2 linked regions of the Solanum lycopersicum genome follow. The protein of the gene in region 1 interacts with the protein of each later gene in a pairwise test. Links are inferred from orthologs where the notes say so. Each region holds a gene or a part of one and is shown on either strand. Other genes may lie near its edges.

Region 1 (3,828 bases):
GATCAGCTAACCTAATCCTTGATACAACACCCTCTAAAGTTGAATCTTCTGAGTTAACAGTAAGTTTCACTTTGATTTTTGATTTATCTTTTACCCTAATCAGACTCTAGCTAAAGGCTGGAAGGTGAATTTACCTGAAAGCCGCTCTAACATATCAGAGAGTATAATCTTAATTACAATGCAGTGACTAAAGTCTAAACAGTCTCTTCAAAATAAACAACTGACATTAAAATAGATTCATCTAATTTTGGTATCATGCTAGAGCAGGCCTGTTATTTGCTTTTTTAGTTTTCTTCTTATCAAAGTCAAAACCACTTCCCATCTTAGTGTAGAATTCTATGTTGCAATGCAGGGACTAAATAGTCCCTTCAAATTGGACAAATGACAACAGAATAGAGCAACCAAATTCTGTTCCATGCTAGAATACGGCCGTTATTTTCTTATCAAAGTTTAATGCACTTGATGCTCTGCTGTTACCTTTTCAAAAATTGCTTCAGGCCTGCGATGGTTTCGAAATGAGAAGTAAAAGATTATGTTTTTTCTCGAATATCTTGTTGAGCATTGAATTACTCCCTGTCCCAAATTTTTGGGCTTTAGCAATGTTTGGAGAATCACACGGTTTTTTTTTTGACTAAGATTTCTCAATTGTTTTAAAAATTCTCTCGTTATGAAAATTGTGATTTACAGTATTTGGGTATAATTTTATTTCAATGACTTTGAGAAATCAATATCCTAATTCACTCTGTAGCTTAGACAGATTGACACTCATACTTCAAACCCTCACATTATATCAGTGTTATCAAAGGCGCGCTTATGCTCTGAAGCGAGGCTCAAAACGTGTTGAGCGCTTCACCTCGCTTTATGTGCGCTTCAGCGTCATTATCAAGGTTCTAAGGCAAACGTTTCCTTGCCAATGAGCCTCTTATGAAGAAGTGACACTAAATAATTGATATTTCACTTTATCATAATTTATTTTCAATTTCTTTGGACATATATTTGTCATTCATGTTTATAGTTATTAGTCTTTGACTAAATATATATATATTTGTATTCTTTTCTCTCTTTGCGCTTTTTTCATTAAAGCCCACGCTTTATTTGCGCTTAAAGCCCTCATGGACCTTAGAGCTTTATTGTGCTTTTTGCCTTTGATAACACTTCATTATATTGGACGGAGGGGGTATATGATTAGTCCTAGTTGGAAGTCATCTTGACTTTCAATTGATGCATCTTCAAAATCTCTGAATCTGAATTGACTCTTTACTTGCAAAATTGGCTCTTAAAAATGTCGCTTCAGTTGTGGAAATGTTAAATGTCACTTAGATATTGACATGTATTCCAGATATTCTGAAGCTCTAGTTTTGATGATCCATCCTTTGTGGTGTCACAAAGATACAGTTACATCCACTATTTAACCTTAAAAAAGAAGTCCTTTTTAGACAATCTGCCTTACCAGTCATCACCTATCTCAAAAGAATTGGAGCAGTTCGTCATTTTTTTGTCAATACGCTCAGCATTAGACCAACATCAAATTGATTATAGTATCCATGCTATAGCGTCAATTCGGATGGTGTGCTGCTATCTTTTCGTTCTTATATTTATTTTTTTCTGATTGCACTTGCTCATCAGCAAACATTCATGATGTTAATTACTGAATATTTTGATTAGCATCCTTATAATATGTTTTCCTTTCAATTTTCTTGCTCCCTTTTTTTCCTTTCACAGGTCCAAGTCAAGTGTTCCTTGTTATACATGGACTTCGAAGGTCGTTCTGATGGTCGTTCAATCAAATCAATTCTTGCTCATGTTGCGCCCTTAAAGCTTGTATGAAGTTCTTTCCTTAACTGATATTACTAAATATGCTGACTTAATATAAACGGGAATCATGTTTTCTTTCATGCATTTTTACCATCTTTTCATAAGTAGCTATATCAGTAATAACACAATCGTTCTTGTGTGTTTTACAAGATGTTGACAGTTCCATCTCTTGTATGAGGCTCTCATTTTTCTGTGGTAATTAGTATTTAGTTGATAAATTTTGCATCTATGACGGATATTCACACACTTTCAGGCTTTTCTTAATCAACTAGTATTCAAAGGAAAAAATATATTCCTCATGCATGCTCTGAATATATTTTTGGCATAGTTGGATAATAGGCTTTCTTCTAACCTGAAGAATGAATTTCCAGTAATAAAGTGATCTGATTTTTTTTCGATAATGCCAACAGTTAATCTATATATTCACAGGTATACTACATCAAAATATGTAGTCCCCTTTCACAAGTATTACTACAACTTACAACTTGAACACCTATCTATTGTTTTCCTATAAATAATCTACAACATCACAGGTATCTTCTGTTTGATCTAATAGTTTCTGTTTTCACCAAAAATAAAATAGAGCTAAGCAATTCATTTGAAACTTCTGCAAGTTGGTCTGCTTGTCCACCAAATACATGCAGGGAAAATCTACTTCATTTTTTGCTTCCTTGACATCCTTGTTCCAGCAGCTTAACACTCCTTTTATGTTCCCTGGCTTCACCCACCTAATCTTCATCAGACAGACGAACATCTTCCACAGCTGGTCTGTCCACATACAATGTAAAAACAGATGGTTGATTGTCTCAGCTTGTTCCCCACATAGAAAAAATGTAGAGCATAGTTGAAAGTCTCTCTTATCCAAGTTCTCATTTGTCAATGCTGCGTCCTTTACCAGAAGCCAAGTAAGACAGTTCACTTTATAAAGAACTTTTGATTTTCCGGATCATCTTCCATGACCAATCTTCCTCCTGAAATATTTTGGTGATTCATTGGGTTTTCTTAAAAAAAAAGAGGATATTGCATCTTTATACTTGTGGGACCGGAGAATGCTTGTTTTAGTAAAACTGGGGATTCTATTCTTCTGATCTAACACTTCCATAAGCTTAAGGACAGCTAGTTCTGTGTGGTATAGCTTCATCCTTACAAGTTAAATTTTTATTTCTTATCAAAAAGACTTGTGAAACGCTTAACATACATTGGCAGAGAGTTTTGTTTGACATTATTAAACTACTTCAGAAGAAAATTATGTTTGTTTCCTCCAACCCCCACTTTGCCACCTTTAGAGGAAAAAGAAAGGCATTTCTATCCAACCTTTCCCGGTGAGTCAACTAACCTTGCTGGCCTTTGTTCTCAATCTGCTGAGGAAGTGGAAAGCAAAAAAGAAAGAAGACCTATAGCTCACATGTATTAAGTGTTCACTGCTATTGACCAAGCTTTTATCGTAGATGCAAAGGATATCTTTTTCACCTCAGTGCCACTCGTAGCTACTTTTTTACTTAAAGAAGCAAAGGATATCTTTTTCACCAATGTTGTATTGCGAACAATTCGAGTCGAAATTTTTGAAAGTCTCACATAATTGACTTAAATTTCCTGCAAAGACTTTGATTTTAGTTTTTTTATTTTCACTTTAAAGCTAAAATGATGACTGATTATCCTTAGTCTGAAAAATTCTGGAAATGAGGGTTATAGTTGTGGAAGCAATGGTAATAGCGTCTGCAAGGGACTAATTGAATCCATTCTGTCCTCCATTTGAAAAAAAAGAAGTGATGCATCGAATTATGATAAGAGGATGTGACCTAGTGATCAATGAAATGGTTGAGAACCTTGAAGTCTCAGGTTCAAAACTCAACGAAGAAAAAAAACATAAGGTGAATCTTCCAATTTGTCCTAGCCTGGTGGACGGAGTTACCTGGTGGTACTATGGGAGGTGGTAAGTATCCCGTGGAGTTAGTTGAGGTGCGCGAAATCTGGCCCGGGCACCACGGTTATCAAAAAACTAAAATGATAGAG
Region 2 (3,828 bases), on another chromosome or scaffold:
ACAATTCAGGATGAATGTCATAGCTAGTGGCTTAGACTTATCAAGAAACTTATGGGATAATAAGTCTAGGTTAAGAGTGAATGAAAGTTTAAAATATGAACTTGCCCTTTTCTAAAAAGAGATAGATGTACTTAAACTAACTTGAATCAATTTTATGATCTTACTTATTTCTAATCTTTGTGAAATACTTCAACCGTTCCAGGCAACAAGAAGTTGTAGATAAGAGAAGGAACTTTGTTTCCACTTCTAATGCTCCTCTTAGCATGTATCTTTACTTCATCAAGCATTCTGATCTTAAATAAAACCAAAACAGTGGGGATACATGGTTGTTGTATGTGAATCTGGTGCTATGGTTCTTGAGCAATTGCCCTTTTCTCCTAGGAAGGTGTCAATTCGATGCGATGAGTTCAGGATCGTTCTGGGAAAAATCATCTCCTTCCACTCAAATTCCTTTTTTATTTGCTTTTCCTGTAAGAGGGAGGCTTGTTTTTTTGGTCATATGCATTATTTGCCCTAGTTATTGAATAAAAACATTTTTTTCCCTTTCTGTTCAAACAAATAAGTTCTTTCTACCTAGTATTGAGCAGTGCAGTATCATCCTACAGTTTCTGTGACTGGGGAATAAAAGAGCTCTCTGGACTACTTAGTCTGTCATCCAAACATGTGATGAGATAGTCCAGAATATGATTTCACTTGCAAAATGAAACTTTTAATCAAATCAAATCCCCCTATTATCAGTGATTGGGTAAGTTCTAATATATTTTTCTCTCGTCTTTTTGATGCTCTACCCACAGGCATGAAGCTCCTCAAGTAGAAATCACAAATGCACATGAAACTGGTGTTTGGGATCTTGCGTGGCACCCCATTGGCTATCTCCTTTGCAGGTTATACTGCATTTTCTTGAACTGCAGCTCTGTAGTTATGTGCCATTTATTACACTAGTACTGCTTTCCAGTTGCAGAAAACAATTGTTAGGATTCTTCTCATAACTGGTGTGCTTTTCTTCTGTGCCTTGTCCCATATTTAAATATATTGGTCAATTCATTTTGGGTGTTGCTGGATATTCTTTTGAGGTTTTTCATTTTATTGTTGCTTGGATCTATATGGTGCTGAATTTGCTGCTTTACCATGACAATATAAGCTGAAGCTAATTCCAAAAGCATGTTTAGTATTCACCCTGCAATTCTATGCCCCAGTAAGAACACAGAGCCCCAGTAAGAACACAGAGCATTCCCAAAGTACTCCTTTTCCAATTTTCTAATAGAATACCTTCTGCAAATTCTGTTTGATTTTGCTCTTTTCAGTTTTTTATTTTTATTTTAAACTGGTAATTCTGTGCGTGTGTGTATTATATTATATATTAAAAGAATCAAAACAGTACTTAGGTAGTACTGAAACCATATTTACATTAGAGCTCTCAAATTCTTTTGTCCCCTATCTATAATGAATCTAAAACATCAATGATAGAAATATTATTATTTTAGTATATCTGATTAAACCAAAAACACAAAAGTAGGATGGAGTTCAACTTGATATTTTGCACACCATTCTTTATATTCTCAAAGCATCTTATCTCCTTCCAAATAGTCCACTAAATGCAGGCATGGACAATTCTCCATCTACTCCCATCCTTTGCCCGTAAGCCTGTTTACTCGCAACTTTTTAGAGCTTCTGTGACCTTTTCAGGAATAATTCAGGATGTCTTTTAAGTTACCAAGTTCAAAAAAAATAAATTCAGGATGTCTTTTTGAGGTTTAAAATAATTCTCCATTATTGTGCCGTGAAATTACGATGTAGAAGAAACGGTTAACTGTCTCTGCTGTTTCTTTACGCAAATAACATCTTGAACATAATGGAATCCCTCTTCTCGACAGATTAGCCAGTGTAAGGGCTGCTTCTTTAACTAGTAGCCACACAACATAGACTACTTTGTGAGGGACTTTAGTCTTCCAGGATGTGTTTCCATGTCCAACTGGGTTGGTTGGAGTGATCCATCATTTTGTAAGCTGCATTTGCCTAGAATAGTTTCCTTTCTACCATAATACATCTCCACTTGTCTGTAGCCCAAACTGCTCAATTACACTAAAGAAATCAGCCACTCTTAGCAATTCCCAATCATTGATTTGTCTTCTGAAAATGATGCTCCATCCTTGAAGTGTCCTCATTTCTGCTATAGACCTTTGCTGATGAAGAACTAGTTGAAGATATCTGGAAAGGCCATTTCCAGATTGCTTACCTCATGCCAGTTGTCCTTCTGAAAGTTAATTGTAATCTTATATGTTTATTCTTTCCACATAATGGCTATGGATTTAGATTGTCCCTTCTCGGTTTGCCTTCTATCCACTCTAAGAAGTCTATCAGTCGATGGTTGTGGGGATTAAAGCTTCTGCTGTACTAATTCTTTCTTGAATGTGAAGGTTTCTTTTGTGCGGGCTCTCAACTTTTTCTTTATCCAGTAAATTTATGTTTCCATAAGAAGTCTGCTGCAGATTTAAATCATAGGGTAGATGGTTGTCTGTAGCTTTGTTGTATGCTCATCTCAACTATGGCCCTCACTTTAGTAGCTTCTTTTTCCATGTATGTTGGCTCTAACTCCCTTCTACAGAACTTATCAAGCATATGTACAAATACAATTAGCGATAGTAATAGTTCCTCCATTTTATGTTATTTTGAGATAGTAATAGTTGTGTATATCAAAACCATTACATTTGTGTACTAAAACCATATTTACAAAGGAAGAATACTGTCAGCTGTCCTTGCAAAATCGAGGATTTCTATGATTGAAACTATATCTTCTATGTAAATCTGTTTACACCTAAAACAAAAAGAGTCTAATGCAATTCAATTGATCTTCTGTATTGAATGGCTACTGTCCTCAACATTTCAAGTTCCTCTCTTTCCAGATTGTCCACCAGATGAAACTTGCAAGCTGGTATAGTCTATCTATGTATAGACTTTGTCATTTCATTTAAACCTTTCTTGGCAGGTGACTTTGTGGGTGCTTACTTGCATTTTAAGCCTCATTGTGTTTATGTTGATTCAAATCCTGCACAGCCTCCACAGGCTGGAATAAAATTTGTTCCCTCCCTCTCTATCTTCGTGTGTGTGTGAGGGGAATTGTGTGTTTTGTACTGTAAATTGTATGTCATTGCCTTCTAGCGGCTGGTTCTGGCCTTTCTTGCTGTGTTATTTTGTTTCTTATCCTCCCTAGTACTGTGGATATCCTAAGGCCTTCCCAACTAGGTATTCTGCCAACAGGAATAAAATTTCTCACTTTAAAGCGTACAACTGGAGTAACCTAACCGGGTAACTAATCAGTCTTTTTGCTGGTGCAGCGGTAGTAATGATCAGACAACAAAGTTCTGGTGCAGAAATAGGCCTGGGGACTCCGCTCGTGATAAATTCAATTTAGGACAACAAGGTGTTTACTAATTCCTGTTCATGCAGTTGTTATTTTTATTTTTTTTATGCTATTGTTTTAGTGTACTTCAGATTGTATACAAGTTTATTGTTCATATGTTTAGATAAGGGGGCTGTGGGCTTTGTAGACCTGGGCAAAAATCAGCTTCGTTTTAAAGAAATTTCTTGAAAGATTATCAATTTTTTTTTCATTGGCACGTAATAGTCTTAGTTTGACTATCACGTTGAACTACCAAACTATAGTGCTTAAATAGCCTCAGCACAGGTATTTTGGTTGATTTCAGGTTTGGGTGATCAACACAATGTTCTTGGTCGCATGCCTGGTAATTTTCCAGGTCCTGAGCCCCCATCAACTCCTGGAGCATTTGCCTCTGGTATGTTACGAACGGAGGGTACAATACCTGGAGT

Evidence for each region.
Region 2: the proteins of cleavage and polyadenylation specificity factor subunit 2 (region 1) and flowering time control protein FY interact in binary tests that used the Arabidopsis thaliana proteins (3 or more experiments, as listed by UniProt). The link is inferred for Solanum lycopersicum from reciprocal best matches to the Arabidopsis thaliana genes CPSF100 and FY.

The regions. Positions count from the first base shown.
Region 1 is NC_090802.1:3,729,267-3,733,094, reverse strand, and holds part of cleavage and polyadenylation specificity factor subunit 2, read left to right. Parts: coding exon 1-59; intron 60-1,722; coding exon 1,723-1,821; intron 1,822-3,828. UniProt on the Arabidopsis thaliana protein: CPSF plays a key role in pre-mRNA 3'-end formation, recognizing the AAUAAA signal sequence and interacting with poly(A)polymerase and other factors to bring about cleavage and poly(A) addition. Required for antisense-RNA-mediated gene silencing.
Region 2 is NC_090807.1:57,365,298-57,369,125, forward strand, and holds part of flowering time control protein FY, read left to right. Parts: intron 1-794; coding exon 795-884; intron 885-3,335; coding exon 3,336-3,421; intron 3,422-3,704; coding exon 3,705-3,828.